4 linked regions of the Mytilus edulis genome follow. The protein of the gene in region 3 binds, or shares a complex with, the protein of the main gene of each other region. Links are inferred from orthologs where the notes say so. Each region holds a gene or a part of one and is shown on either strand. Other genes may lie near its edges.

Evidence for each region.
Region 1: DNA-directed RNA polymerase I subunit RPA12-like (region 3) and DNA-directed RNA polymerase I subunit RPA43-like share a complex: the UniProt entries of both Homo sapiens proteins name them as parts of the RNA polymerase I (Pol I) complex. The link is inferred for Mytilus edulis from reciprocal best matches to the Homo sapiens genes POLR1H and POLR1F.
Region 2: DNA-directed RNA polymerase I subunit RPA12-like (region 3) and DNA-directed RNA polymerase I subunit RPA2-like share a complex: the UniProt entries of both Homo sapiens proteins name them as parts of the pol I pre-initiation complex. The link is inferred for Mytilus edulis from reciprocal best matches to the Homo sapiens genes POLR1H and POLR1B.
Region 4: DNA-directed RNA polymerase I subunit RPA12-like (region 3) and RNA polymerase I-specific transcription initiation factor RRN3-like share a complex: the UniProt entries of both Homo sapiens proteins name them as parts of the pol I pre-initiation complex. The link is inferred for Mytilus edulis from reciprocal best matches to the Homo sapiens genes POLR1H and RRN3.

The regions. Positions count from the first base shown.
Region 1 is NC_092350.1:28,387,238-28,394,148, forward strand, and holds the start of DNA-directed RNA polymerase I subunit RPA43-like, read left to right. Parts: upstream 1-3,883; 5' UTR 3,884-4,050; coding exon 4,051-4,241; intron 4,242-6,911. Other genes in the region: cytoskeleton-associated protein 5-A-like, read right to left, coding at 718-911, 1,406-1,462. UniProt on the Homo sapiens protein: Component of RNA polymerase I (Pol I), a DNA-dependent RNA polymerase which synthesizes ribosomal RNA precursors using the four ribonucleoside triphosphates as substrates.
Region 2 is NC_092345.1:94,834,072-94,842,003, forward strand, and holds the start of DNA-directed RNA polymerase I subunit RPA2-like, read right to left. Parts: upstream 3,029-7,932; 5' UTR 2,956-3,028; coding exon 2,869-2,955; exon of another isoform or gene 2,442-2,868; intron 984-2,441; exon of another isoform or gene 34-983; coding exon 1-33. UniProt on the Homo sapiens protein: Catalytic core component of RNA polymerase I (Pol I), a DNA-dependent RNA polymerase which synthesizes ribosomal RNA precursors using the four ribonucleoside triphosphates as substrates.
Region 3 is NC_092345.1:1,181,644-1,188,668, reverse strand, and holds the start of DNA-directed RNA polymerase I subunit RPA12-like, read right to left. Parts: upstream 3,027-7,025; 5' UTR 2,983-3,026; intron 1-2,982. Other genes in the region: multifunctional methyltransferase subunit TRM112-like protein, read left to right, coding at 3,252-3,329, 4,367-4,468, 5,128-5,220, 5,759-5,860. UniProt on the Homo sapiens protein: Core component of RNA polymerase I (Pol I), a DNA-dependent RNA polymerase which synthesizes ribosomal RNA precursors using the four ribonucleoside triphosphates as substrates. Can mediate Pol I proofreading of the nascent RNA transcript.
Region 4 is NC_092352.1:27,401,492-27,409,078, reverse strand, and holds the start of RNA polymerase I-specific transcription initiation factor RRN3-like, read right to left. Parts: upstream 2,997-7,587; 5' UTR 2,920-2,996; intron 418-2,919; exon of another isoform or gene 164-417; intron 1-163. Other genes in the region: coilin-like, read left to right, coding at 2,997-3,253. UniProt on the Homo sapiens protein: Required for efficient transcription initiation by RNA polymerase I (Pol I). Required for the formation of the competent pre-initiation complex (PIC).

The DNA.
Region 1 (6,911 bases), on a different chromosome or scaffold from region 3:
CAAAAGAAAAATGCATCCAATTGTAAATAAAAATATCATTAAAACATAAACACTCCCAGGTAGGGACCAAAATCCCTATAACCAACTAATTTCCTTGACGCCTTCAACAATCATTGCAATTTTTTTTATATCATGTTAAATACAGTAGACAAAATATTATCCAGTTAATTTAAGCAAAGATTTTTGTGTCAATAACAGTGTAGATGTATTAGAATAAGAATATGGATCCTATTGAGTGCTAGGAACCGGATGTTCAGTGGTTGTTGTTTGTTGAAGTGATTCATAATTGTTTCTAGTTTTTTAAATAGATAAGACCATTACTTTAGGTGTGAGCCAAGGCTCCTTGTCGAAGACTGTATCTTGACCTATAATGGTTTACTTTTACAAATTGTGAATTGGATATTAAGAGTTGTCTCACTGGCACTCATACGACAAATTCTTATATCTATAGATTAAAATGCTCGAAGTAAAAGTCTAAGTCCTGAAATCATGCTAATATGTTTGCAAAGAAATTTTGTAAGATACTAATTTTACCAATCATATGATGAAACAAAATAATTTCTGAACTGAAATCTAGTATTTATGATATTTCAGATTTAGGGCCTTTGTCAACAAGACAGCTATCAAACATCACAATAAATCCATAGATGTCATGATACCATAGAATGGTGATATAAAACTAAATATTATCTTGTAGTTATACAAAAATGATCAAACCTGGATGCTACAGCAGCATTCTCTACAAATGCTAGAACAGCATCCAATGCTTTTTCTTGAGCCACAGCATTGGTATCAGTGACAAACTTCTTCATAAGGCCAGCATAGCGCTGGAATTCAGGAGACTTGGGATCAGTCTGTTGGCTAAATATCTTTGTAACTTCTTCATATCCTGCTAGACGTGCTTTCCATGTCTATAATACAAAAACAAATAAGTTAATTTCCTCCTGTAACACTAAAGCTTCCATTTACACTTCCCTTTCAATCCCAATTGGTAGGTAACTCAGGTCCAAGCCAGTTTGAATCCTTCATAAGGTAAAATGATACTAATAGTTTTGGCATTGCAGTCTACACCATTTAGTGTTAACCACTAGATGGATGTCCCAAGACTAATTGAATATCATTTTTAATAGTAAGTATTTGTAAATATTTGTTTATAAACATAAGAAAGTTGTCTGAATATTGGTCATCTGACTTGTAGTTGGAAAAGAATTTGGTGCAGACTGGCATTGCACTAACCTGCTAACATGACCAAGTTATGCTTTTCTAAGATTGCTTTTGATGTTGTTACTCTAACTCTGTTGAATGTGCACTAATTTTTGTTTTAGTTTGGGATAACATAAATTTTATATGTATATATAACATGCATAACCTACATGACCTATATCTTTGTAAAGTTTAATTTTACCTTATGCTGGCACTTTTCTTCAGCAGGAAGTTTCAGCCATTCACTGTCATCTCCCATTATGGATTAATAATACTCCTGGAAAATACAATGTCATGAATGTTTACACATGTTAGAAAAAAAATATTGCTTTGAAGGAATATACTGATATTTACATGTAATTAATATGATTCTATCGTAATTTGTAAATATTAAGATTTCAATGACACAACTCTGTGATTAATAATCAATATGTCAATAAGACTGACATATTCCAGAACATGAAATCAGGGAGGGTACATGTATTTCAATGCTAGGTGCTTTTACAGTTTATTTGTGCTTCATATTGATTTATTAAGTAAAATATTTTTTACAGTTTGTTCTGATGTTGTGATGCAACACCAGGCATGGGCAGGGTTGTGTGCTCACAAACATGTTTAACCTCACCACATTATTTATGTTTATACTGTCTCAAGGTTTGAGTCCTAAATTCAGTGGTTGTTGTTGGTTCATATTTCAAATTATTTGTTTTTCATAAATTGTACAGTATACCATGTACACATTAATATTATTATAATTTAAAGTTTTATTGTTTTTATCATATGTTAAGTAGTAAATACAGTAGTTTTGCATATTTGATAAATAGCCTGCTGTTTAATCCATATCGCGCAACTCTGATGCGCACCCTTTATCGCATACCCTTTATCGCATACCCTTTATCACACCTCTACCCTTTATCACACCCCTACTTTTTTTTTTTTTTTTTTTTTTTATATGAAGCATGTAAAGTCAGTTTTGTTTGTTTTTTTTTGCTTAAGAAAAATTTTCCTCAAAATAGGTCAATTTTTTGAATGACGTCATTGTTTGGTATGTGACGTCACGAACGTCAAGTTTTCATATTGTATTTGACGTCAAGAACGTCAAGTTTTCATATTGTATTTGACGTCACGAACGTCAAGTTTTCATATTTTTTGGCACACTAATTGCAACTATAAAAAATACAAAACACACAAATAAATACAATAATAAACATTTTTTTTTTAAACAACAGCACGCAAATTGTAAGGTAGCCCAGGTGCTTCGGATAAGTAATTGAGCAGTACTTTTGAAAGCCTTTGAAACAAGACAAAAGTAGAACTGAAGGTAACCCAGTGCTATGGATCAGAAAACAGTTCATATAATATAATACTATTCTGTTGAAACATATGATAAAGCGTATAATACATGGCAAAATCCGTATCACATGCCGTATCACCCTCGACCAATATCATCCCTCGGGCCTAAAGGCCCTTGGGCTGATATTGATGTCTCGGGATGATACGACATATGATACAGATTTTGCCATGTATTATTCTCTATGTATCGTTATGTCTAGGCCTTTCATGAATATAAAGTATGAGTTTTTTTTTTTTTCATTACTGTAGACTGTAGGGTTATAAGTTAACTATAATTGCTTTTATCTCTATCATTTAAACCTCAGGAATTTTAATTGCTTAGCTTGAGGCGAAACAAGGGAACAGCGCCTAAGGCTCAAAATGTTAAAACTAAAAAAAACTTCTCTCCTTCAGATTCATTTGAATCCCCCATGTCTAACCCAGCAAAGCAATGAGAATGCACAACGTGCAAGGCGTGAAAGCGAAAAAGTATAATAGCCTTTCAAGATGTCATAATTATTTGTCAGCCATTACTGGACATCACACAGGTTCCTGTAAATTTTTTATATCATAATAAAAATATCTGACGCCACAATGGAAAAGTAATTGTTGTATGACGTCAATTGTTCAAGCAATACAAATTTTCGGTTCAGCTGGGAATAGACCTTATTGCTATTCTCGACTGAACAGAGAATCTGTCTCTCTCAAACTATTTCCATTGTGGCATCAGATATTTTCTATTATAACGTAAAAAATTTACAAGAACTTTTGTGATGTCCAGTAATGGTGGACAAATACACCTTATCGCTATTCCCGGCTGACCCGTCCGCTTGAACTTTTGACGTCAACAACAATCACTTTTCCATTGTGGCGTCAGACATTTTGTTTTATGACGTCAAAATTTTACGGGAACCTGTGTGATTTCCAGCAATGGCGGACAAATAGCGATAAGGTGTATAGCAATAAGGTGTATAGACTATAGGCTATAGACTGTATGATAAGGCGGATAACAAATCAGGTCAACACCTCTCCAGGAGAAAATACAACATATATTGCTATTTGCAAATGTTGTGAGTTTATTTCATTTCATGATCTGACAGTAAACATATATTATGAATCACTGACATCAGATTATGACAGTTGGCAACTTTACAAGTAAGAAAAAAGGGGACCTGCAAAAACAAAAGGGGATATCAAAGCAATTTATCCTAACAGTTTCAAGTGGTGATTTGGTAGGGATCAAATCAAAAGCATACTTACATATATGCAATATAAATATTTAGTTATCTCATATGAGCGCTGGATTTGAATGGTAAATATTTCGGTCAACCGGAAGTTTCGTGGCGCCATCTATAAACTTGGATTAACTTATAATTTTACTTTAATTAGTTCAGAATAGTATTTATACATCAATATTCTTAGGGTTTTTTTTAACTCAAAAAAAATATTCAACATTGACCAATTTTTCACAAAGCCAAATTTTGTCACACACTTTCGCGAACTCTAGAAAAAAAAATGGCAGCTTCCATGGAACATACACGATTGACATTTTCCGAGGCAAAATCACTAATTTCAAAGTGTTCTTTTTCCCATCTTGAAGCAGTTTCATCTAAGCGACATATTGTTTTACCCCCGAAGTTTTTCAACAGTATTTTACAAGGAGTGAGAGAACATCTCAACTCAGAACTGCAGTTAGTTGCAAGCTGGTAAGAACTCGAAGTGGTTTGAATACCTCCCCCCTTTTTTTGAAAATTTTCTGTGGACCACTTTTATTTTTTGCAATGAAATTTTCTACAGTTACAACTTGTTTTTACCTTAAAAATTGAGACTGTAAAAATGGGAAAGAATTTACAGAGTCCAAATTACGAATGTAAACATGGCTGGGACTATACATCTTATTGCTAATCCCAGCTGACCCGGCCGCTTGAACTTTTGAGCATACATCAATCACTTTTCCATTGTTGCGTCAGATATATTGTTTTATGACGTCAAAATTTTACATGAACCTGTGTGATATGCAGTAATGGCGGACAAATAGCGATAAGGTGTATTATAAATTTATTATACCGTACTTAAGGGTCTGCAAACTGAACAATCTGTTGAGATTTCATTGCCCCAATAGCGGATTATTGATTTTTGTTTTGGTTGACAGCGTATTGTGTCATGTAGTAAATTAGCATTCGGTACATGTAAACAATAGATTTCGGCAAACAAGTCAGCATATATATAGAAAAACAGTTAAAATTGGTGGACTTGAAATAAAGAATAATTATTAAACAGGGATAGAACTTAAGACTTTGGCAATTGTAGCCCACAGCTTAAAGTTTGTAGCCCAAATATAGTCTAATTTACAAGAAAAGCAGAAATTTAAGCAGCCCACACTAAATTAGAGGGGCCATTGGCCTGTGGGCCTCTGCTAATTTCATACCCTGTAATAAGCTAATTAGTTTAATGCAAAAACCAGATATTGTTTACGAAAAAATATTAAGAAGTAGTCAATATAGTAATGTTGAAAATAAACATGATAAACCAGATATAGTCGAAATGCAGCACTTTACTTGACCGCTAAGATAACAACGTGTCAAAGGTTGTCAGATCATAAATAATCCTGATGAAAACAATATGTGTGCAATAAAAACAATGTTGACAATTTCAATTCCTAATTAATTCATATAACAAAAGTTACCCTGGTCTCATGAAAATATAGCCACATTGTTTTAAACTTTTGTGAACTTCGTGTTTACACCAAAATTTCAATATGGCTGTGCATCATCGGGCCTACTTTTGTAGTTGTAATTGTGGAACCTAGTCTATTTTCACGAAGTCATATGCTTAATGCCACCTGAAGACCATTACTAAGCAAAATTAACCCTGATTATAATAAAATATTGCACACTTAAAAAGGAGTAGGCAATTTTGTAGGAACAGTAAAATTTATTTAAGCCGTGCATGTGGGTTCCGGTTGTAATGAGAAAGAGATATTTTTCCACTTGTCACTTTAAAACGACAATAAAAATAGGCAAATCCAAACTATAACCTATGAATATGATTTCACAACAAACCCAACTTGGGTATCTCTTTTCAATCAAAAGTTATAAGAAATTTAATTAATCATCTCCTTTTTTCCACATCGTTCCCACGTCATTTTCATCCTGAAAATTTCAATCTTTTTGTTATTTCTTACACTTAAGGCGGATTTAGTGATTAATAACAACTGTTAAAGATCGAGGTAACTTTTATCATTATAGTAATCAAGTTGTTGGCATGACACGGGTTATGTTCTTCTCATATATGTTATGATCGTATGATACTAAACCCCTAACGGGAAGGATTGTGCCTGATGTTCATATGATGAAATCATAATCTTTCAGTCAGTTTAATTGAAGTCTGGAGCTGGCATGTCAGTTAACTGCTAGTAGTCTGTTGTTATTTATGTATTATTGTCATTTTGTTTATTTTCTTTGGTTACATCTTCTGACATCAGACTCGGACTTCTCTTGAACTGAATTTTAATGTGCGTATTGTTATGCGTTTACTTTTCTACATTGGCTAGAGGTATAGAGGGAGGGTTGAGATCTCACAAACATGTTTAACCCTGCCGCATTTTTGCGCCTGTCCCAAGTCAGGAGCCTCTGTCCTTTGTTAGTCTTGTATTATTTTAATTTTAGTTTCTTGTGTACAAGTTGGAAATTAGTATGGCATTCATTATCACTGAACTAGTATATATTTGTTTAGGGGCCAGTTGAAGGACGCCTCCAGGTGCGGGAATTTCTCGCTACATTGAAGACCTGTTGGTGACCTTCAGCTGTTGTTTTTTTCTATGGTCGGGTTGTTGTCTCTTTGGCACATTCCCCATTTCCATTCTCAATTTTATTATATTAAGGATTATCATTTCTAATAACTATAAAATAAAAAAAATAATTTCAGAAATTATAAGATCAAGGCACGCTTTCACTATCAAATCAATATGGCGTATCCATAAATAGCGCAGGTAAAGTCTCGTTCTAACGACTGTGATTTAGATATTCTGATTGGTGTAATGGTTTCCAGTCCTGTTAGTATGATAGTCCCAGAAACATGGTAAATCTTTCTTCGTATTTCCGAACTCAGTCACAACTTTAACTAATTTGAGGCAGGCATTACCTGTGAAAGGGGATGAAGTCTATGATTTTTTTTCAATTCAAACATAATTTTAACATGTTTAACTTTAAAATCTGTTTAAAAAAAAGAAACGGAAATACCTTGACTTTTCTGATTTTTGTTCTGTTGATTTGGATTTTAGTTGTAACATTATTTGACCTCATACTCAATGTAAACAAAGATATGAAATCATCAGGTAACGTTTTTTCATATCAAAGAACTATTAAAAATGAAAT
Region 2 (7,932 bases), about 94 Mb from region 3:
ATCAACATGGGGTCTGGTTAGCTCTTGAAGAGGCTGAAAAACAACAATAATCACTATTTAAGCATACATTTGTACAGGCAGTGGTATTTAGGGCAAGTTCTGTCTAACAGCTTGTGATAATATAACTGTGTTAACAATTTATAATGATAAGGCCATTGCACATAAACTATGGGTATACAAACTGGAATGGTATTAGGATATCAAAGTATGATCATGTTGGATGGATTATCAAGCATGTCAATTGCAAAATTGTTCTTATTCTTGAAGAAGAAGACTTCTTCCAGAAGAATTGGTGTGTTGCTTCATAAAGAAATGAAAAGGTTTAAGGCCTGGCATTCACTAAATATATAACGTACATGTAATATGCCTTTTGTGTTTCAGAAAGATAAAAAAAAATTTTTTAATTAGATGGGCATTTTTGTTCTGTTTTTAACATTTTTAAAGATTTTATCTTTCTGAAACACAAAATGCATTTAACTTTTATAGTATATTTACAATGTTAGTCCAAATATATCTGATGTCTTGCAAGGCTATTATAATTTTCCTACTTAGGAAGGCGTCCCAGAAAAAAAATTAAATAACCTTGCAAGAGGTCATAATTATTTGAACTAGTACAATGTACAAATGTATCTGGTGGATATTGGATAAGGCCTTCAAACTTTTTCAACTACACAGGTTAGTTTTTGAGGTATAATTACAACCATCTTTTTCCATTTGTAATGACGAACCTGTATATAAACTTTTATATGGGGAAGAAGTCCCCTATTAAAGTAGAAAAATCAATAATTTATTATTTTTTTTTTTTAATTTTGGGAAAATTCGTTCAAATATTTTTGTCGCTTTCTTTAATTCCCGCATTTGCGCAGAACGCAGAAATCTACTTCCTTCTTCCGGTCTTGTTGTCGTGAGACTTTGAGTAGTCTAGTAAAATATAGGAACTCAAGGAACACAATGCCAATATTTCATTTTTAATAATTCTTTGTCTTTGATATGAATTAACGTTACCTGATGCATTGTGTTTCTTTGTTTACATTGAACATTTATAGTAGAACTAATTGCCGTATTTGAATATCAAAAATAAGACAACGCGTGACCGAACGACGCATGGATTAAACGAGTGATTACGGCAAATACGGCGATTAGTTATTCTTTTTATTACATTGGCAAATGTTTTTTTTTTATGAAATTAATGTGGAAAATGTAAGGAACAAGGGTCCGGAAACGGTCATATTTGCCAGTCATGTCCTAAACTGAAACTATAATGTCCTAAACTTTTAATTGGGATTTAGGTCAAATTTTATTTTTCAACCGTAATAATTTCGGTCATTTCGTTGAGATCAGCTTTCAAAATCGCCATTTTGAACATATTTTTGTTTTGTTATCGACTTCCTGTAATTAAACTGCCACTTCATTAAAGTGTTATAATCCTGAGGGCCCTCCTAATAACTATATTAATGCCTCGGGGAGCTATTGGCTAATGATTGCTAATCTCTTTACCTGTGTTTTTAATTCACACCTGGCAATTAATCACAAGCTCCAAACTATTATTATAAAGAAATAAAAATTCCATACCAACTGGCTTCATTATTTAATTACTCAACAGGTCAGACAATTGTCAATTATGATTTAAAATTAAATTAAAACTTGGTTTAATTTCATAGAAAAAAATATTTTTTTTACTTCTAACACACGTGCTTTGTTTACTATGTAATACGCATGTTTGAAATTCTCTTCCACAGATTTAGACAATTAATTGTAAATATAAAATAATTTCATCCTAAATAAAGCTAGTGCAACTATTTTAATTAATATTCTTACACTATTAAAGGTAAAATATTAAAAAGCCGATGATTTCCTGTGATTTGGATAAACAAAACTAATCCCGGAAATGAGTCCGGAATTGTTCGTTTTAGTATTGTCGCAGTACATCCGGTTTGAATTTTGACTTCAGAATCAAAGGAAACGTAAGCAATAACTGAGAATATTATCGTTTTGAGTCATTAAAATCATTTTATTTATAAACTGTTGCCTTCCCTTAATTGCTCTTAAACGATTTTTGGAAAATGGTAGGACAAATCATGAAGTAAATGCGATGCAACAGTGAAACAAGTTTGTTGATGCTACGAACATGACGATCGAGTATGAGCATACTCATAATGAGTCTCATGCAGTAATGTGATTTTGACAATCATTTTTTGAAAAGGGGCATCAACTTTTAAGTTGTATGAAAATGACCGAAATTAGGTGAAAAAATTTCCGGATCCTTGGTAAGGAACTATATCTTTTTCCTACGCATTGACAATTTGTTTTGATCCGACGTTATCGACGTCTTGACAACGCCTATTGTTGTATGACATCAGAGAGTGAAATAACCCCGTTTATTTCACATGTGAAATTATCGGTTTTTATCTAACTGGGGAATCAATGTAATTCATTACAACCAATGTAATAAGACGTCATAACTTAAATAACGTCACAAGTAAAATACCTAACAACAGAACCAAAATCGGAAACGTTACAGTATTTCCGTTTCTTTTTTTTTAACAACTTCGTCCCCATTCACAGGTAATGCCTGCCTCATATTATAGACAATAGACAATATTATAAAAAAAAATTATGTACTGCCACTGGTGGAAACTAGCTATAAATTTGTCTTATGCTTAAAAAATTGCACAGGTTTATCAGATTCTAGTGAAAATATGTAGGTGTTAACTCAACATTTGTTATCCATTTGTTATTTTGAAACATCAATTGACATAATTGACGTATGAAACGGTTGTTTCTGTGACTAGTGTCAGAACGACAGTAGGGGAAAAAAGGGGGGTCTACAGATCGGATATAAACAAATATATAACTTATAAGGTTTACCATATGTTGCTTATCATTAGGTCTGCCATAATCTTTATGTGTTAAATTTTTGAAACTTGGTTGTATTCGATCCCCAGTCTCTGTCATTTTGAACAAAAGTTCTTTGATTTTCTTCCCACGTGCATTTGTTGTTGTTGTCTACGTAAATATAAGGTTTGAATGTATAGAACATATTTCTGTCTTATTAAACGTTTTGATGACTAAATTAAAAAAATAATAATAGTATTACAGGGTAGGACGTAGTTTGGAATTCCGTATTTTAAAAATATTCGTCAGTTCGTCAGTTACCAAGGAGAATATCATGAACACGCATTATTGATTAATTTATTGTCTTTTACGCCACTCTCGGCACTATTGTTTTTTTTTGTGGTGGCCCGAAGAGAATCATAGATACTTGGGCACAGGACATTTTTATTGGCCCTCCCCCTTTTCCTCACAATCCGTCACTTTTTTCAGGAACATATATATATTAACTTAGTTACCCAGCTTGTTTTGTTTTTATATCACACGTGTATATGGTAAGCGGAAGAAGGGATCCCGTAGACCGCCCTACGTCACGAATCATGAATTATGCATATTCTATTTATAGGCTATTTATAAACGATTCTGAAAATACTTATTCTAAAAATAGAATATTCTCAACATGTACAGCTATTAAAAAAAACCGATTCAAAATCATTAACTTTCATGTAACACGGTGAATTTGCTTTATTTATTATTTTATCACATGAAAAAAAGAAAAATGTACCGCATTACAGTAGCATATATCATAGTACAAATATATACAGATTCCTTTTTAAGATACACATGAAACATTTCATATAGATATGATAAACAGTAGGACTTAGTGCCTTAATTATGTTGTAAAGACCTGCAAATGTCACATGCACGTGGTCCCACGGCTTTGGATATACTATGGAGTTAATAATATTTTTATTATCCGTCTAAAAGAGTATTTTTATGTAGGCAAATTGAAAAAAAGATGTAGCTTACACATGTTAAACATATATTGTTACACGTACTAAGGCTTTACAGGAGTGTGAGAGGGTGTTTAAACTGGTCTGCGTTTAAAGAAACGAATCTGTAATGTGACCCCCTGTTGTCTGACCATTCTACTATAGCTGGACGTTCTATAGGAACCATTGTTACTTGTTTACAATAAAGCTACTGTTAGGGCGTTCTACAGGATCCCCTGGTCGTTCTACATGATCCCCTGTTGTCTGAACCTTATATATCTACTACAAAACGTTCTATAGGATCCCTTATATTGTTTGTTTATCATGTATACACTAAATGACGTTCTACAGGACCCCCTGGGCAGTCTACAGCTGGGGGGGGGGGGGGGGTCTACAGGATCCCTTGTTGTCTGAATATTATATATATATATCTACTATATATAGTATAGAACGTTCTATAGGAACAAGTTTTTGGTCAGGATTCTTCCGAAAAAGCTCATACCAAATTTATGAAATATATTCCTGGTGTAAATAGAAAGTCAAGTAATATAGCTGTAATGTCAGAGATTGGTAGATTTCCTATGTATTTTACTATAATTTTATCAATGTTAAAATATTGTCATAGACTGGAACGTTTGAAAGAAGGATGATTATTTGATGCATTTATATGTTGTAAACATACAGTTACAAAGTTCTAATGTAAATACATGGTATTGTAGTATAGATTATATTCAAAGAGATTGAAATACCAAATTTTGACCAATCAATTGGTTCTTTATGTCAGTATCTTAAAAATCAACTATGTAAAAGTAATTTCACATTTTGGAATAAACTGAAGCATCAAACAATTAACTCCGAAAAATGGAAAAAAAAAATGATTTAAAAAGAAAAGTATTTAGAATTACAGGACTTAAAAAAAAGACAGTCAATTTGTAAATTAAGAATAAGCGCTCACTCTTTAAAAATTGAGACAAACAGAAATTCAAAAAAACATGTAGAAAGATCTGAGCGTCTTTGTTCTAATTGCTCACTCGGTAAAGTTGAAGATGAGCTTCATTTTTTATTAGAATGCCCTCTTTATGATATTCAAAGGGACGATTTTTTCCAAGACATTTCTAACAATTGTTATAATTTTATAAATTTAAATAAATCTTCTAAATTTTATGGCTCTTGACCCAAGAAAATGTCACTCTTATGGAAAAACTGGGCTGTTATATTGGTGACTTTTTTTAATTAAGGAGATTAGATATGAACACTGACACTAAGTCAAGTAAACAATTTGAGAATAAATACATATATATAATGTAATTTTATTATTCTTTTATTCACAATATATATGTGGTTTTTGGCTTGATTCTGACCATTGCTTATATTCCAAATATATATGTATATGCCTCTATTATTGTTGTTGTTACCAATTATGTAAATCAATTGTATCTGATTCTATGCCCTTTATGGGCCCTGTAATTTTTGAAAAAAAATATATATAGGATCCCATATTGTTTGTTTGTCATGAATATACTAAAGGGCGTGTTCTCCATATCCCCTGTTGTCTGAACATAATATATTAACTATAGAACGTTCTTTAGGATACCCTATTGTTTGTTTCTGATGTATCTACTAGGCTAAGAGAACGTTCTATATAATCCCCTGTTGTTTGTTTATCATGTTTATACTAGATGACTCTCTACTGGATCCCTTGGTTGGTCTGTGGGATCCCCTGTTTTCTCAAAATTATATATAAACTATAGAACGTTCTATAGCATACCCTATTGTTTGTTTTTGATGTATCTACTAGGCTAAGAGAACTTTCTACAGTATCCCCTGTTGTTTGTTTTTCAAGTGTATACTATAGGGCGTTCTACAGGATCCCATAGGCGGTTTACAGGATCCCCTGTTTTCTCAACATTATATATCTACTATAAGACGTTCTACAGGATCCCCTGTTGTTTGTTTTTCAAGTGTATACTATAGGGCGTTCTACAGGATCCCCTAGGCGGTCTACAGGATCCCCTGTTTTCTCAACATTATATATATACTATAAGACGTTTTATAGGTTCCCCTTTTGTTTTCTCAAAATTATATATAAACTATAGAACGTTCTATAGCATACCCTATTGTTTGTTTTTGATGTATCTACTAGGCTAAGAGAACGTTCTACAGTATCCCCTGTTGTTTGTTTTTCAAGTGTATACTATAGGGCGTTCTACAGAATATCTGAGCGATCTACAGGATACCCTGTTTATAAAAATTATGCATTTAAGATAATACTTTCAATAGGTTCCCCTGTTGTTTGTTTATCATGTATATACTATAAGGCTTTCTATAGGATCCCTTGGTTGGTCTACAGGGTCTTCTCTTTTCTCAAAATTATTTATCTACTATAAGACGTTCTATAGGGTCCCCTGTTGTTTGTTGTTCATGTTTATACTATAGGGCGTTCTACAGTATCCCCTGGGCGGTCAGCAGGATCCCCTGTTTTTTCAACATTATATATCTACTATAGGACGTTCTATAGGATCCCCTGTTGTTTGTTTTTCAAGTGTATACTATAGGGCGTTCTACAGGATCCCCTAGGCGGTCTACAGGATCCCTTGTTTTCTCAACTTTATATATCTACTATAGGACGTTCTATAGGGCCCCATGTTGTTTGTTGTTCATGTTTATACTATAGGGCGTTCTACAGTATCCCCTGGGCGGTCAGCAGGATCCCCTGTTTTCTCAACATTATATATCTACTATAGGACGTTCTATAGGATCCCCTGTTGTTTGTTTTTCAAGTGTATACTATAGGGCGTTCTACAGGATCCCCTAGGCTGTCTACAGGATCCCCTGTTTTCACAACATTATATATCTACTATAGGACGTTCTATAGGGCCCCATGTTGTTTGTTGTTCATATTTATACTATAGGGCGTTCTCCAGAATACCTGAGCGATCTACAGGATACCCTGTTTATAAAAATTATGCATTTAAGATAATACTTTCAATAGGTTCCCCTGTTGTTTGTTTATCATGTATATACTATAAGGCTTTCTATAGGATCCCTTGGTTGGTCTACAGGGTCTTCTCTTTTCTCAACATTATTTATCTACTATAAGACGTTCTATAGGGTCCCCTGTTGTTTGTTGTTCATGTTTATACTATAGGGCGTTCTACAGTATCCCCTGGGCGGTCTGCAGGATCCCCTGTTTTCTCAACATTATATATCTACTATAGGACGTTCTATAGGATCCCCTGTTGTTTGTTTTTCAAGTGTATACTATAGGGCGTTCTACAGGATCCCCTAGGCGGTCTACAGGATCCCTTGTTTTCTCAACTTTATATATCTACTATAGGACGTTCTATAGGGCCCCATGTTGTTTGTTGTTCATGTTTATACTATAGGGCGTTCTACAGTATCCCCTGGGCGGTCAGCAGGATCCCCTGTTTTCTCAACATTATATATCTACTATAGGACGTTCTATAGGATCCCCTGTTGTTTGTTTTTCAAGTGTATACTATAGGGCGTTCTACAGGATCCCCTAGGCTGTCTACAGGATCCCCTGTTTTCACAACATTATATATCTACTATAGGACGTTCTATAGGGCCCCATGTTGTTTGTTGTTCATATTTATACTATAGGGCGTTCTCCAGAATACCTGAGCGATCTACAGGATACCCTGTTTATAAAAATTATGCATTTAAGATAATACTTTCAATAGGTTCCCCTGTTGTTTGTTTATCATGTATATACTATAAGGCTTTCTATAGGATCCCTTGGTTGGTCTACAGGGTCTTCTCTTTTCTCAACATTATTTATCTACTATAAGACGTTCTATAGGGTCCCCTGTTGTTTGTTGTTCATGTTTATACTATAGGGCGTTCTACAGTATCCCCTGGGCGGTCTGCAGGATCCCCTGTTTTCTCAACATTATATATCTACTATAGGACGTTCTATAGGATCCCCTGTTGTTTGTTTTTCAAGTGTATACTATAGGGCGTTATACAGGATCCCATAGGCGGTCTACAGGATCCCCTGTTTTCTCAACATTATATATCTACTATAAGACGTTCTACAGGATCCCATGTTGTTTATTTTTCAAGTATATACTATAGGGCGTTCTAC
Region 3 (7,025 bases):
AATTCTCCATGCGTGTAACCATTGTAACCAGATTCCCCATGCTTGTAACCATTGTAACCTGATTCCCCATGTATGTAACCATTGTAACCTGATTCCCCCATGCATGTAACCATTGTAACCTAATTCTCCATGCGTGTAACCATTGTAACCTAATTCTCCATGCGTGTAACCATTGTAACCAGATTCCCCATGCATGTAACCATTGTAACCTGATTCCCCATGTATGTAATCATTGAAACCTGATTTTCCCATGCATGTAACCATTGTAACCTGATTCCCCATGTATGTAACCATTGTAACCTGATTCCCCATGTATGTAACCATTGTAACCTGATTCTCCATGTATGTAACCATTGTAACCTGATTCTCCATGCGTGTAACCATTGTAACCAGATTCCCCATGCATGTAACCATTGTAACCTGATTCCCCATGTATGTAACCATTGTAACCTGATTCCCCATGTATGTAACCATTGTAACCCAATTCTCCATGCGTGTAACCATTGTAACCAGATTCCCCATGCGTGTAACCATTGTAACCTGATTCCCCATGCATGTAACCATTGTAACCAGATTCCCCATGTGTGTAACCATTGTAACCTAATTCTCCATGCGTGTAACCATTGTAACCTAATTCTCCATGCGTGTAACCATTGTAACCTAATTCTCCATGCGTGTAACCATTGTAACCAGATTCCCCATGCGTGTAACCATTGTAACCTGATTCCCCATGTATGTAACCATTGTAACCTGATTCTCCATGTATGTAACCATTGTAACCTGATTCTCCATGCGTGTAACCATTGTAACCAGATTCCCCATGCATGTAACCATTGTAACCTGATTCCCCATGTATGTAACCATTGTAACCTGATTCCCCATGTATGTAACCATTGTAACCTGATTCTCCATGTATGTAACCATTGTAACCTGATTCTCCATGCGTGTAACCATTGTAACCAGATTCCCCATGCATGTAACCATTGTAACCAGATTCCCCATGTATGTAACCATTGTAACCTGATTCCCCATGTATGTAACCATTGTAACCCAATTCTCCATGCGTGTAACCAGTGTAACCTGATTCCCCCATGTATGTAACCATTGTAACCTGAATCCCCATGTATGTAACCATTGTAACCAGATTCCCCATGCATGTAACCATTGTAACCTGATTCCCCATGTATGTAACCATTGTAACCTGATTCCCCATGTATGTAACCATTGTAACCCAATTCTCCATGCGTGTAACCAGTGTAACCTGATTCCCCCATGCATGTAACCATTGTAACCTATTTCTCCATGCGTGTAACCATTGTAACCTAATTCTCCATGCGTGTAACCATTGTAACCAGATTCCCCATGCGTGTAACCATTGTAACCTGATTCCCCATGCATGTAACCATTGTAACCAGATTCCCCATGTATGTAACCATTGTAACCTAATTCTCCATGCGTGTAACCATTGTAACCTAATTCTCCATGCGTGTAACCATTGTAACCTAATTCTCCATGCGTGTAACCATTGTAACCAGATTCCCCATGCGTGTAACCATTGTAACCTGATTCCCCATGCATGTAACCATTGTAAACAGATTCCCCATGTGTGTAACCATTGTAACCTAATTCTCCATGCGTGTAACCATTGTAACCTAATTCTCCATGCATGTAACCATTGTAACCTAATTCTCCATGCGTGTAACCATTGTAACCAGATTCCCCATGCGTGTAACCATTGTAACCTGATTCCTCATGCATGTAACCATTGTAACCAGATTCCGCATGTATGTAACCATTGTAACCTAATTCTCCATGCATGTAACCATTGTAACCTGATTTTCCCATGTATGTAACTATTGTAACCTGATTCCCCATGCATGTAACCATTGTAACCTGATTCCCCCATGTATGTAACCATTGTAACCTGATTTTCCCATGTATGTAACCATTGTAACCCTACTTTCCCATGTGTGTAACCATTGTAACCAGATTCTCCATGCATGTAACCATTGTAACCCGACTTTCCCATGTATGTTACCATTGTAACCCGTCTTTCCCATGCATGTAACCATTGTAACCTGATTCTCCATGCATGTAACCATTGTAACCTGATTCTCCATGCATGTAACCATTGTAACCCAACTTTCCCATGTGTGTAACCATTGTAACTGATTTCTCTATGCATGTTTCACTGTAACCAAATTCTGCATGTATGTAACCAGTGTAACCTGATTTCCCATGCATGTAACCATTGTAACCAGACTTTCACAGGCTGGTTACAAATTTTTACTGGATTCCCCAGGGACAGCCATTAATGTACAGTTTGCAACAGATTAAGCCACCATTGCATATCATTTACTAAAGGTCCATGTGTGTAACCAATGTAACCAATGTAACCATTGCTTCAATGGGGGTAACAAAACAAGATACCTATATTCAGGTGCACATTTTGTGCCATATCTATGGTACCCAGACCGAAGTTTAAACTAGAATGAGTACTTTGGGGGCCTCCGTTTGTCAAAGTTGCCCCTACTTTGACCTGGAGATCAATCTTCTGATACTTCGAGTTCTCGGCTTCCTCAACCATAATAACAGAATTCCCGATGTCCTAGCACTCCCTTTGTGTTGGGTGGGGATTAATTGTCCTTGTAAAAATAATTGTCGTATAAACATACGTTAGTGACACATCTCCATTCGAGTAGGGAGTGTACATGGATGCCACTGTACGCTCGCAGCTTTCGAGGGGTTCTTCGGATATCGGAGGCATTTACCAGTACATACATACATACATACATGTATATACAGTATTCAAAAAATAAAGTTCATGCATATTTTGTACGCTAATGCCAATAATGTGCATGTATCAATTGAGCAACAATATGAAAATTCTAACATAAATTGAACACTTCTACCTACAATTTCAAATGTGTTTAATGTCGTGCAGTTTAATTTAGATTTGAAAATTTAGAAAAATAAACTCACATGTTTCATGGGCGCAGACATCTTGGTTAATAAAAAAAAAGATTATTTAATTATCTACTAGATAAAACGAAGTGAAAAAAGAAACAAAATTGATGTGAATAAAAATAATTTTGGATCTGAAAAATAGAAATATAATTTCAATGCATTGTAATTAGCACTGAAAAAAATAAATGAAATTAAAAACAGATTTAATGAAACAAATTTTATTTTCGTTTTGTACGAAATTTTGCATTGTTTAGTAATCGACGTAAATAAAGCGAAAGAGAAAGATGAAGCTCCTTACTCACAACATGCTTACTTCTAGTATAATAAAAGGTGTAAAGAAGGGATACCCACTAACAATTCAGGTGAAACTTAATGTTGTTGCATAGCTGTATTTTACAATGTAGAAATTGACAAACGAGCCTTCTAAACCTCCCCGTTTATAACTTGCTAACCCCTTTTATCCTGTTGTCCTAAATTGTATAATGACTATAATTAGGCAGCTATACAGGGGGTACTTTCATCATGAATAAAAATAAAATTATTACCAAACGATGTAAAGGAGGGTTGTATTAAATGGGGGTACCTTTATGATGAATAACAGTAAAAATCGTTGCCTAATGATGTTAACGGTAATTTTTGTTGTATGACGATAAAATGTACTCTGACAATAAAACATCAACTGATTTTGACGAATCACGTTAATTTTTTTCTAAAAATGACGGTAATGATAATTTTTTGAGACCTCTGACATGTCTGACAAATCTCGGCAAGGATATTTTGAGGAATCACGGTAAAATTTTAACCAATTTGACGTTAATGGTAGCCAAAAACGGCTCTTAAAGGCCATAGTAATTTTTGGTGCATGACAATAAAATGTGTATTTTCTTTATGATGATATAATAATCGACCGATTTTGACGAATCCTGATTTTTTTTCTCTCCAAAAAGTAAAGGTTATGGATAATTATTTGAAACCTCTGAAAAATAGGACATATACATGTAACTATACTATATACAAAATGTATATGTCCTTGATCTCATTAACATTTTAACCAATTTGATTCTTATGAAAGCCATAAATTTGACTCCGATGGTAAAGAGTACCGGTATTCCTCCTCTCATACATAGTGTGTAAATGTGTGAAACCTTTTTTTATTACTTACCAGATTGGCAAGCAGCTCTTCATTTCAACTTTGTTTCATTTTGAGAGTCATCCTCCTGCCAAGGCAAAAGAAAAGTAAAGCATATATTTTTCTATTCACACAGTGTTTTATTTACCATTGATTTACTCAGCACACACCACAGCTATATATAAGTTTAGACACCTTGAATATACTTGTACAAATACAACTTAATTGAAATAAGGGTAACACATATTTTTGTTGATTATTTTTTTATAGGCAACTAAAGTGGAGGTGAAAGAGGTTGACTTTAATCCAGAGTTCACAGCCAGAATGATCCCTAAAGTGGATTGGCCAGCTTTGTGTCAGGCAGCTCAGTCAGTAAGGATATACGCAATATAGTTAGAAAATACAAAGGGACACAACTCATAATTCTAAGAATATCTGAAAGAAATCTTTTTTAATTTTAAGATTTTTTACTCTCTGAATAATCAATTAATAACTTGTTCATGCATAGTTTAACTAGATAATTAAACTCCAGCATTTTAATTTTGAGAATAAATGCTAAAAATAAATATACATTGTACAATAGGTAGTTTATAAAAAAGAAGATGTGGTATGATTGCCAACGAGACAACTATCCACAAAGACCAAAATGACACAGACATTAACAACTATACTAGGTCACCGTACGGCCTTCACCAATGAGCAAAGCCCATACCACATAGTCAGCTATAAAAGGCCCCGATAAGACAATGTAAAACAATTCAAACGAGAAAACTAACGGCCTTATTTATGTAAAAAAATGAGGTTCTTTATCATGTTTATAAATAAAAATTGAAAGAAAATCAACCCCTCAGTGCTTAGATTTCCTGTATTGAGTTTTTAAATAGGCTTCTTGCAATAAAGTTGATCAATGTCTGCAGGGATTTTATCCACAATAATCAAAATATAATACAAGGATAAGCTAGCATTAGCTAGGTACACTAAGGTTGGCTAGGTACATTAAGGTTTATGTTTTGTTTATTTTTACATTTAAGGTTGGTCATAATGAAGGTTTACCAACAGAAGTTGCTGAAAGTTATGAATCTGATGAAGATTTTTTAAAAAAGGCACACAGAATTCTTATGGAGGTATATATGATAACAAGAAGATAAATTTACAAACTAGTTAAGATGTATAATCATAGTTAGCAACCATTTAAAAGTAAAGCCAATTTCTGGAATAATGAATTTTACTCCAGAATTATAATTTTAAGTTGTTATCTCCCTTTTCGGAAAGTAGAACTGATAATCTGTTTATACTCCTTGTTGATTTAAGATAATATTTTGTTTATATTGATATTACAACTTTTATCCTATTGTGGCTTCCAACATTCTCATTATCAAGCTGGCAATGTCTGTAATCTAAAGGAGCACGGGACATCACCATGACAATATACTTAAAAAAGACTTGATGAAGCAGGTAATATGATGGCATAATTAGTTATGGTTCTACTGAAAATTTCCCAAATGTACAAGAATAAGAAAATTTAAAGATTTTTTAGAGGACATTAAGATCAAGTGAACAAAACCATTAGGAATACAGTTTCAGCCATGAACACATATAGTTTTATGGAGATAATACCAAATCTTATATTTTAAATAATTACATCCACATTTTTGTTGGCAGGTAGAAATTGTAGAAGGTGATCTGATTTGTCCTGAGACAGGAAGGAAATTCCCTGTTAATAGAGGAATACCCAACATGTTGCTGAATGAAGACGAGGTGTGACAGAAGCCATTTTGAACAATCTTGTGATAATAACTTTGTGTCATACATTTTCTATGACTTGATAATTGAATATAAAGCAACAAAATTATTTTGACAATTCATCATGTGAAATGTAAAGTTTCATCAGAAATAATTGGGAAAATTATGAACACAATCTTCATATGTACTTTGTTACAGAATTTGGTAAAGAACATTTCCTTTGTTGTAGAATGCTTGTTTTAAGCATGTGACTGTTAATAAAGGTATAAGCCAAGTATGTATTTAATTTTGTACCTCTTAAAACAAAGTTACTGTGGATAAATTTGTACTCACGAAATCCATGGCAATTGGTTTTCAATGAAGAAAAATGAATCGGTTTGAACCCACCCCCACTGAAAAATTGTCATTTCCCGTCTATTTTCCGATTTTAAAACGACCTTGAGAGGTGAACATTGACCAGACTGTGTTTCTTTGTCATTCAAATCTTACCCCATAGATACAGAAGTCAAATCATGCTAACTGGGAGTTTATGGGACTTAAGTGTCTTGCTGGCGAATTATTATTCTTAAGTCAGGTCTGCCTAAATGTCTGTTTTTACGGATTTTTGACAAAACGGTGACCTAGATTTTACAGACTAGTTTCCTATTGGCCATATGATACCTCTTTGTGTTCCTATACCACCTATGCATGAATTTACGATAATAGTTTATACCTACAATGACTACCAGTTACGTAGTGGCCATCAAAAGATGCCCACCCCCACCTGATTTTGGCTACTTTTCACGTTTTTCCGATTTTGAACTCTTAAAGGGCTTTCAAAGTGCCATATTTTCACAATCAGACGTCCGAGAAGAGTTTATGGACCATGAACTGCTTGGTTGAAGTCCCTGCTCTAATGACAGTTCAGGTTGGGCAGTTTAAAAAAGGTATGGAGGGTCATACGGGCCATCAAAGAATGGTTGTCGCCATCACGCCTACAGGCGGGATTGGGGGTTAAAGAGTTAAATCTTATTCTAAATATTGAGGGGAGATAATCAAACCAACTTACTGTAATATTGCAAAATATGGCAATGTTCTCTCGTCAACACAATTCCTCTTAAACCGCAGAATAGATTTTGATAAAATATTGCATTGATGTAGAATGCCACCTGAAAACTTGTAGGAAGGAATATCATCCTTGTCATAT
Region 4 (7,587 bases), on a different chromosome or scaffold from region 3:
TTGTGTCAATTTCTTTAATCCAGTTATGTGTTAATACCTATGTGTTTCACGATTCTTTCGCTTTGGAAATCATTTACAGCCCAAATTTGCTGACACAAGTCAATGAATTATAAAAAAAAAAACACAGTTTTCTAATGACAGAAATTTCCTATTTGTACCATACCTCGATTTGCGTTCTTCGACACAGCATATAACTCGCAACCTGAATATTTCATGCCCTTCTTGTAAATTATCTCTATTCTCGGTATATGATATAATTTGTAGGGATGGCAACGAGTACTCGAGTACTCGCTCGGAAGGCTGAGTACTCGTGTACTGTTTTAGTACTCGGATACTCGTTTGCTGTTATACATCTTGAGATATTTCTCTTCACATTTCCACTCACTTTAGTTCCGTTGAAGTATCCCCTTCGAAATACTAAATAAAATCAATTAACAACATAAATATGTTTATCCTTAGGTTACTATTTGTTATAGTAGTACCAGCAACATCCTTTCCTTCCGGGGGAATGTTTTCATGTGCACTACTTGAAACAAAAAATAGAAAGTCAAACAGTCTTTCGTCTGAAACTGTTGACCAGATCATATTTCTTAACAAGAACAAAGTGACCTGCGGTGAACCCTACGCAACTGAATAGAGACATTTTTAACGGTGTTTATACATGATTAAAAACAAAAAAAATGAAAATAAGACCAACGATCTAGAGCAAAAAAAAAAAACACAGAAAAAGTAAGACTGAGCGACACGAAAAAGCAAAAGTAATTTAAAGTCCAATATTGTTGTTGAAAAATTAATGGACATATCGTATTAAAAAAAAACTCCGCAGGAACAGATGATACAAATGTAGTCTTCTTTGTAGGACTTTATATGTAAATATTTTTTATTTTATTGGAATTTGGTTCATCAGAGACATGTCTCTGGATTCATAAACACTTACACAAACAACAATTATGATAGGTTATTTGTAGAAACGGCGGTCGGTAATTCATTGTTTAATAAACACAAAAAAAAGGAGAAGCAAGCTATGTTTGTAGTACATTTGTCTTATGTTTATAAAAGGTAATAACAAAATACTGCATTCCACCTCAAATCTAAACTTTTCAATAGGCGTTTAAGATTCATCCGAGTAATTGCGAGTACTCAAGTATCATGACCGAGTATCCGAGTATTAAATTTCAAATCTTTTGACATCCCTAATAATTTGTCATTATTGAGCAGTTGTTGAGCAGCAGAATATGTACATGTCAACTTAATCGTTTTAAAGTACTCGAAACAAGAAATATGAAAACGGATATTTGAAACAGGAAGTTTTGAATGAAACGAAGTTATTGACAGTTACCGGTAACGGAAATGAAAAAAAAACGGAAATCGTAAATTTTTCAAAATAAAAAATTGGGGAAGGACGATTTCAGAGGGGCAAGCGGGGATTAAAATCGATCAATTAATTTTAATCAGCCTAACTGGATACCATAAGAAGAAGAGATAATGTCTGACGCGTTACAAAGGAAAAGTGATTGCTTGTTTGACCATGTGTTGACTTGACTGCGAAAGTGTCATAATTTCTTATTTCAATAGGCTATTTGCCAATTTCCGTAATTGACCCTGTAATTAGAGATCCCTAATGAGGGACATTAATTTTTATTTACAATGGAGAGCTAGCAGAAAGAGCAAATCTATCTGTGCGTAATGTGAGTAATTTATAAGGTTTTTAAATCTTTTAATAACATTAATTTGTTGTTTAACTAAATACCATTGACTTCAGAAATTATTTTTCGTGAAAAATTAGTTAAACCGCCGATACATCACTTTCAATTTATCATGCTTTGCATTGGTTAAAGTCAATTTTGTCTGGTATCGAATAAGTCAATTTATTAACAATCAATTTGCCAAATACACAAAGTATTAATCAACTATTAGCGGCGTATATAAAGGAAACAAACCGTTTTAGTGGATAATTTAATACAAATTTCTTTTAATTTTTAATATTTTTTAATTTTTCATGCCATTTTGATAATCTAATTAACCATTTTTTTTCAATAACAGTAGAAAATTCAATAAAAAAAAAAATTCGGGAAAATTTCCCGAATTTTTCATTGTATACTAATGAACTCAAAATCGTTCAATTTTTTTTTTGTCGTGTTTTGAAATCCCGGACCTGCGCAGAAATGTACAATGTACTTCCTTTTTCCGGTCTCGTTTGTATGAAACTTTGAGTAAAATATATATTTATCAGTCTAGTATAAAATAGGAAGGAACGCGCAATACCAATTTCATTTTTAATAATTCCTTGATATGAAAAAACGTTACCTGATGATAGCGTTTCTTTGTTTACATTGCATATGACGTCATAATTTAAATAACGTCACAACTAAAATCCCTAACAACAGAACCAAAATCGGAAACGTTCCGGTATTTCCGTTTCTTTTTTTTAACAAATATTTAAGTTACAAAAAAATAATTCATACAGACTTCGTCCCCATTTACAGGTAATGCCTGCCTCATATTATTTTTAAAGCGCCACCTACAATATCTAAGTACAAAGGAGAAACTACATTAGTGATAATTATTTTACAAGAGAGGATAATTCACAAGAGAGATTACTCTGTGATCACGACAAAGATTGAAGATTGAAGAATAAGTCTACGATTCTTTCTTTTTCGTCTTTCCTTGTACATTATCTTGGTAGAATATGTTGTCTATAATCCTAAAAGGGATTTAGCAAGTCCATCATTACTGACAATAATTTAAATAATCAGTACGTATGTATGTCAACAAATTTAAATTATGCCAAATTATGTTTTTTTTCTGTTATAATAATTCATAATTTTTGTGATTTAGAATGTATTTCGTTAAGAAAGCATAACACTATATCTTCTGAAACGACGAGTGTTTGAATTTACGTGACTTATTTGAAATTACCTGTCACACTTTTTAAAATCGTGCTGTTGATGTAATGATCTTCTGCATTGGAGGCGAGTTATACCCTAGAAATCAAGATGGCTGCGCCCATGGCCACACACGTTCGAATTAAAGTGTATTTTGAAAACAACGAGTTTGATGCTTCATGGTTATTAATCGATACAGGTGATCTCCGGACAATGAAAGATGTACAGCGACATATATCCTTGAAATTTCTTGGAAAAGCTGTCCCTCTGTATTTATCTTTACAAGGATGTTTACTTCCAGATTGGGAGAAGTCAGTTATTTTAAGAGACAATGATTGTGTTAATGCAAAGTGTATCCATCAAGATAGGTAAATTTTAGGTAGAAAAGGAAGTGACTATTATTTTAATTGATAGCAGGCAATTCTGAGAGAAGATTGCAATCATTAATTTATAATACTTTGTCATGAAATATTTGCCACTGGACGTTAAGCAAGCAACAATTAATCTAATGTATCCGGAGATCCTGATTCTACATACAAAATCATCTATTCTCCACCGGGACTCAAACACGAGACCTCCTTCTTCCCAGGCAGCATGTTATGGTTCATGTGGACCATGTGGACCCTGTGGCTAAAATGGCTGCATTTTCACCTCAAAATTTACTCTGAGTACAGACAAACCTGTGCATCTGGAAACGTTTTAAGGCAAAGCATGCCCTAGATGAATAGACTTCAAATGCATTGTATGATTTAGAAAATTCATAACTTAACTGGATTTTGCAGTGCAGTACTGAGATAAATTAATTGGTACTTCCTTAGCTCAACCGCTTACGGCTAACTAAGTATCTACCACATAATCCTGAAACACTTCCCCCACCTCAAGAGTCATCATACCATAATGACTCTCACACAAAATAAATGTACCCAAGCTAGAATTCCCCTCTTACCACCATGTTTTTTTCTAGTTTGGCGCCAATTAGAGCATGATTCTACATACAAACATGTACTAAAAAATCTTGTCTCTACCAGGACTAGAAACCCAAGACCTCTGTGTTACCAGGCAGCGTGTTAACTGACTGGGCTAAAAAAGTACTTCCTTATCTCAATCGCTTACAGCTTACTAAGTATCTAGCACACCTTCTAAGGGAAGAATTCATATGAGGCAGGAAGACTTGTTGGAGTGTTGCTGCACACAACAGTAGCTTTTATGACACTGCTTTCATGTAAATTCGGGCCAAGTAGATTCATCCAAAGTTGTTCCAGTTCAAGTTCATTCTGCCCTCATATAGGACAGCTAGTAGAAATGCCCTGTACTATGTGTACCGTCGGACATCAAATAGTAATTTTCGGCTACCTTAAGTGTCGAAATTGGTTAACATTTAATCATGATCCAGTTTGTTTAAATATTGCTATTGTTTATATTCATCAGAGGTCTCAAAGGTTTGTTATCAATCTTTTTGTTTAACAGGTGTAAAGATTGTTCTCAATCTTTCATACAATTAGTCTATAGTCTCTGGACATTTATTCTATGCAATAGTTAAATTACCTTTGCCAGATATTCAAACAAAATTACAACTAAACCATTGTAAAGGCATGTGATTACATTGTTTAAATGTATTACTATACATGGATCTCCATGGCCTGTTTAACGATGGCGCCCCGCCATCGTTCAAATGTCTTGCGCCATCGTCAAATGACTCGCGCCATCGTTCAATTGTCTTCCGCCATCGTTCAAAACTGTGATCGTTTTTATAGCCTGACGCCATTTTTTTAGCAATTATAATCAAATGCATGAAATTGCATAACCCTCAGGCTTTTTTTTATAGTATAATCCAATACAGTTCTAACGCCTGAGGGATATCCGGATTAAGATCGCTAATCAGTTGTACCTGAGCTTGTACAGGTAGATCAACAAACCAGACAGGAGAATATTATCTGAAGATAGACCATTCATCTGTCGAATAATTTAACTAAGTTTCTGCAAATGCTTATGATAATTCAGATTAAATAAATAAATTAATAATCCAGTTACAAAGTTTAATAAGTAGAACACATGCTTTTATTTTGACCTACGCAATCTGCATCCCCCTTTTTAAGAAGTACAAAATAAGACGTAAAGCAGTAATTATTATTTCATCGCAAATAACTCGAGTACTGCTGTATTGTAACAATAATATAGAATTACTTTAAAAGTTAAAAAGTTAAAAATTTAAATATTTCCTGTAAAGAAATATCGTATCGTAATTCCGAATTCATTTGGTAGTTTAAATACACCTTTCCACTATCTACTGATAAGCCCGCCTCCCTTAGCAACACATGGCAACCCAGCATCTTGGGTCAAGCTTATCAACAAAATGGCGGTTATTATGAACATTGGATAATAACAAAGTAAAGAAAATGTTATAAAAAATATAAAGAAGAGCAATATATTTATGCTTTTGTGTTAAAATATGATAAAATAGTTACTCCTCAAGAGTTGGGAGATAGATTTATGAAATTCTGACCATTTCAACTAAATTAAAAGAAACAAATACAATATTGAAATTTGAAGCTTATATACTAGATTACTTTCATTCACAAAAATGTAACAACAAGATAAAAATATGATATGATTGATTAGATAAATTATTATGATAAATTCCAGGTTTAATTAAGCATGGCTAATGAATGTTGATAAGTTTGTTTACTATGTAGACAAACACAGCATTGGGTCAACTTGTAAAACAAGCATCATTGATCCAGTACCTAATAATTGTTTATTGAATAATATTTAACCATTTTTTTTTTATGTCCATAGATAACTTATACTGATAATTAAAATTCCTATCACTAAGTAAAAAATAAAGAACAAAAGAAAATTTATTTATTTTTTGCTAGATAGATAGTTACTTGCATTGCTTACATGTATGGTTGGTCATTGAAGTTCGTCTTGGCTTCAAATTCATATAGACTAGTACTCTTATCCTTTTAAGATTGAAATATTTGCACATTGTACCTTTTTGATTGCAAATTAATAAAATAAAATATATCGAAAACTTCTCACTTCTTTTTTTTTTCTTTTGATAAAATATATGATAATAATCCTGTTAAATCAGTAAATATTCCCACAGAAGACCAAGTCGTATCAAAACTACACTTTATTTTACTTATGATAAGCATCTATTGAAATATATATTTTTATTCTTATTATTCAAGTTTCCCCTACCTCTTAACAAAATTCTAAGAATGACAGTACAAACATAAATATGATATTTGTAATGTAATTTCAAGAAATAGCACATTCTAACTTGGATGTTTTATAGTATAATTAATTATTAAATGAATGAAAAAAATCTCAAAATTGAATTCTAATTCAATTTGTAAACCAATTGAAATCTTGTGTTTCAAAATATATATTTTTCATCATTTAAAAAAAAATACTATTAGCATGTAAACAATATTTTAAAATCAGTAAGCACTGCCATCCTATTCCTTTTTTATTGATTTATTAATCAGTTTCATTCATTAAAATAAACTTTTATTTTGTTGGAAATTGACAACTTGACCTTCCTCTACCCTCCTACTTTGATTCCTTTCCCTAAAACAATATTATTAATGATTTAATTGCGAAAATTTCAAAAAAATTCTATCAAATTAACTGTTCAGATAAGAAAGCTTGACCGAGGTTATGTCCGACAACACGTGCTGCTATCAAATGTTTACACATGTGGTAAATTGACCACATGTGATTGGTCAATTAACTGATGATTGGCAGGAGAATGGATAGGTGTATTACAATCAAATTGATACATCCGCTTTTCCGGTTTCTATTTAGACTTGAAAGATGCATGTTGCATAGCATCGATTAAATCATTTGCTAGATAAAGTCATTAAAAACCTTTTCATTTGACAACGTTTGCTTAACAAATCTTTTTAATTTTTTAAATAACCCGTACGACTTGTTTTGTCGTTGCTGCAAACCAGCCATACCGGTAATTGGTTCATGACTTCTGAATTTGACAGTGTCCGTGAAAAATAAGCTCCACATGATTTTTAACCCCCATAACAATTACCAAAAATAGCAAGGAAACTACATGGGGACCTTTGTGATAGCTATTGGTCATTCTCGACTAAGGGAAAGGGAGGGGCACGAGGGCTTGGCCTTTGAAGGGTTACAAACGGCAATTATTGAAAATATATATTCTTCTATATAGTATTTATAATGAAAATTCAAATAAACATAATTTAAATAAGTAATGAATTAGCATGTTCACCTATCCTTATGTGGAGGGATGAAATACTTTCGATCGCGCTACACTGTACGGCTTAGATACGGTTTATGATGGTGAAAGTTCCTCCATCGTTCAATTTTCATCCATGGAGATCCCTGCTATAAATGGATACAATGTACAATATACATAACCTATTAAGTTTCTGTAAAGATGAGTTCAAATTTGTTTTGCCAGTCCAAAATCCCCTTTTTATAGTTCTTAGCATGCCTTATCCTTGCGTGTAAGAAAATTGGTTGCTATTGGTCTAGGTTAATCATATAAATCACTGTCAATATATATACGTTATTATTGAATTATAAAGAAAGCAAGCACAATTTCATATGTTTCGACACAGTTTTATCAATATAAAACATTAAAATAGCAGTCACTAAACAACTGTAGGATTAATAGCAAGCTAGAAAAAAAGATGTTATTCAAATGCCACATGTTGGC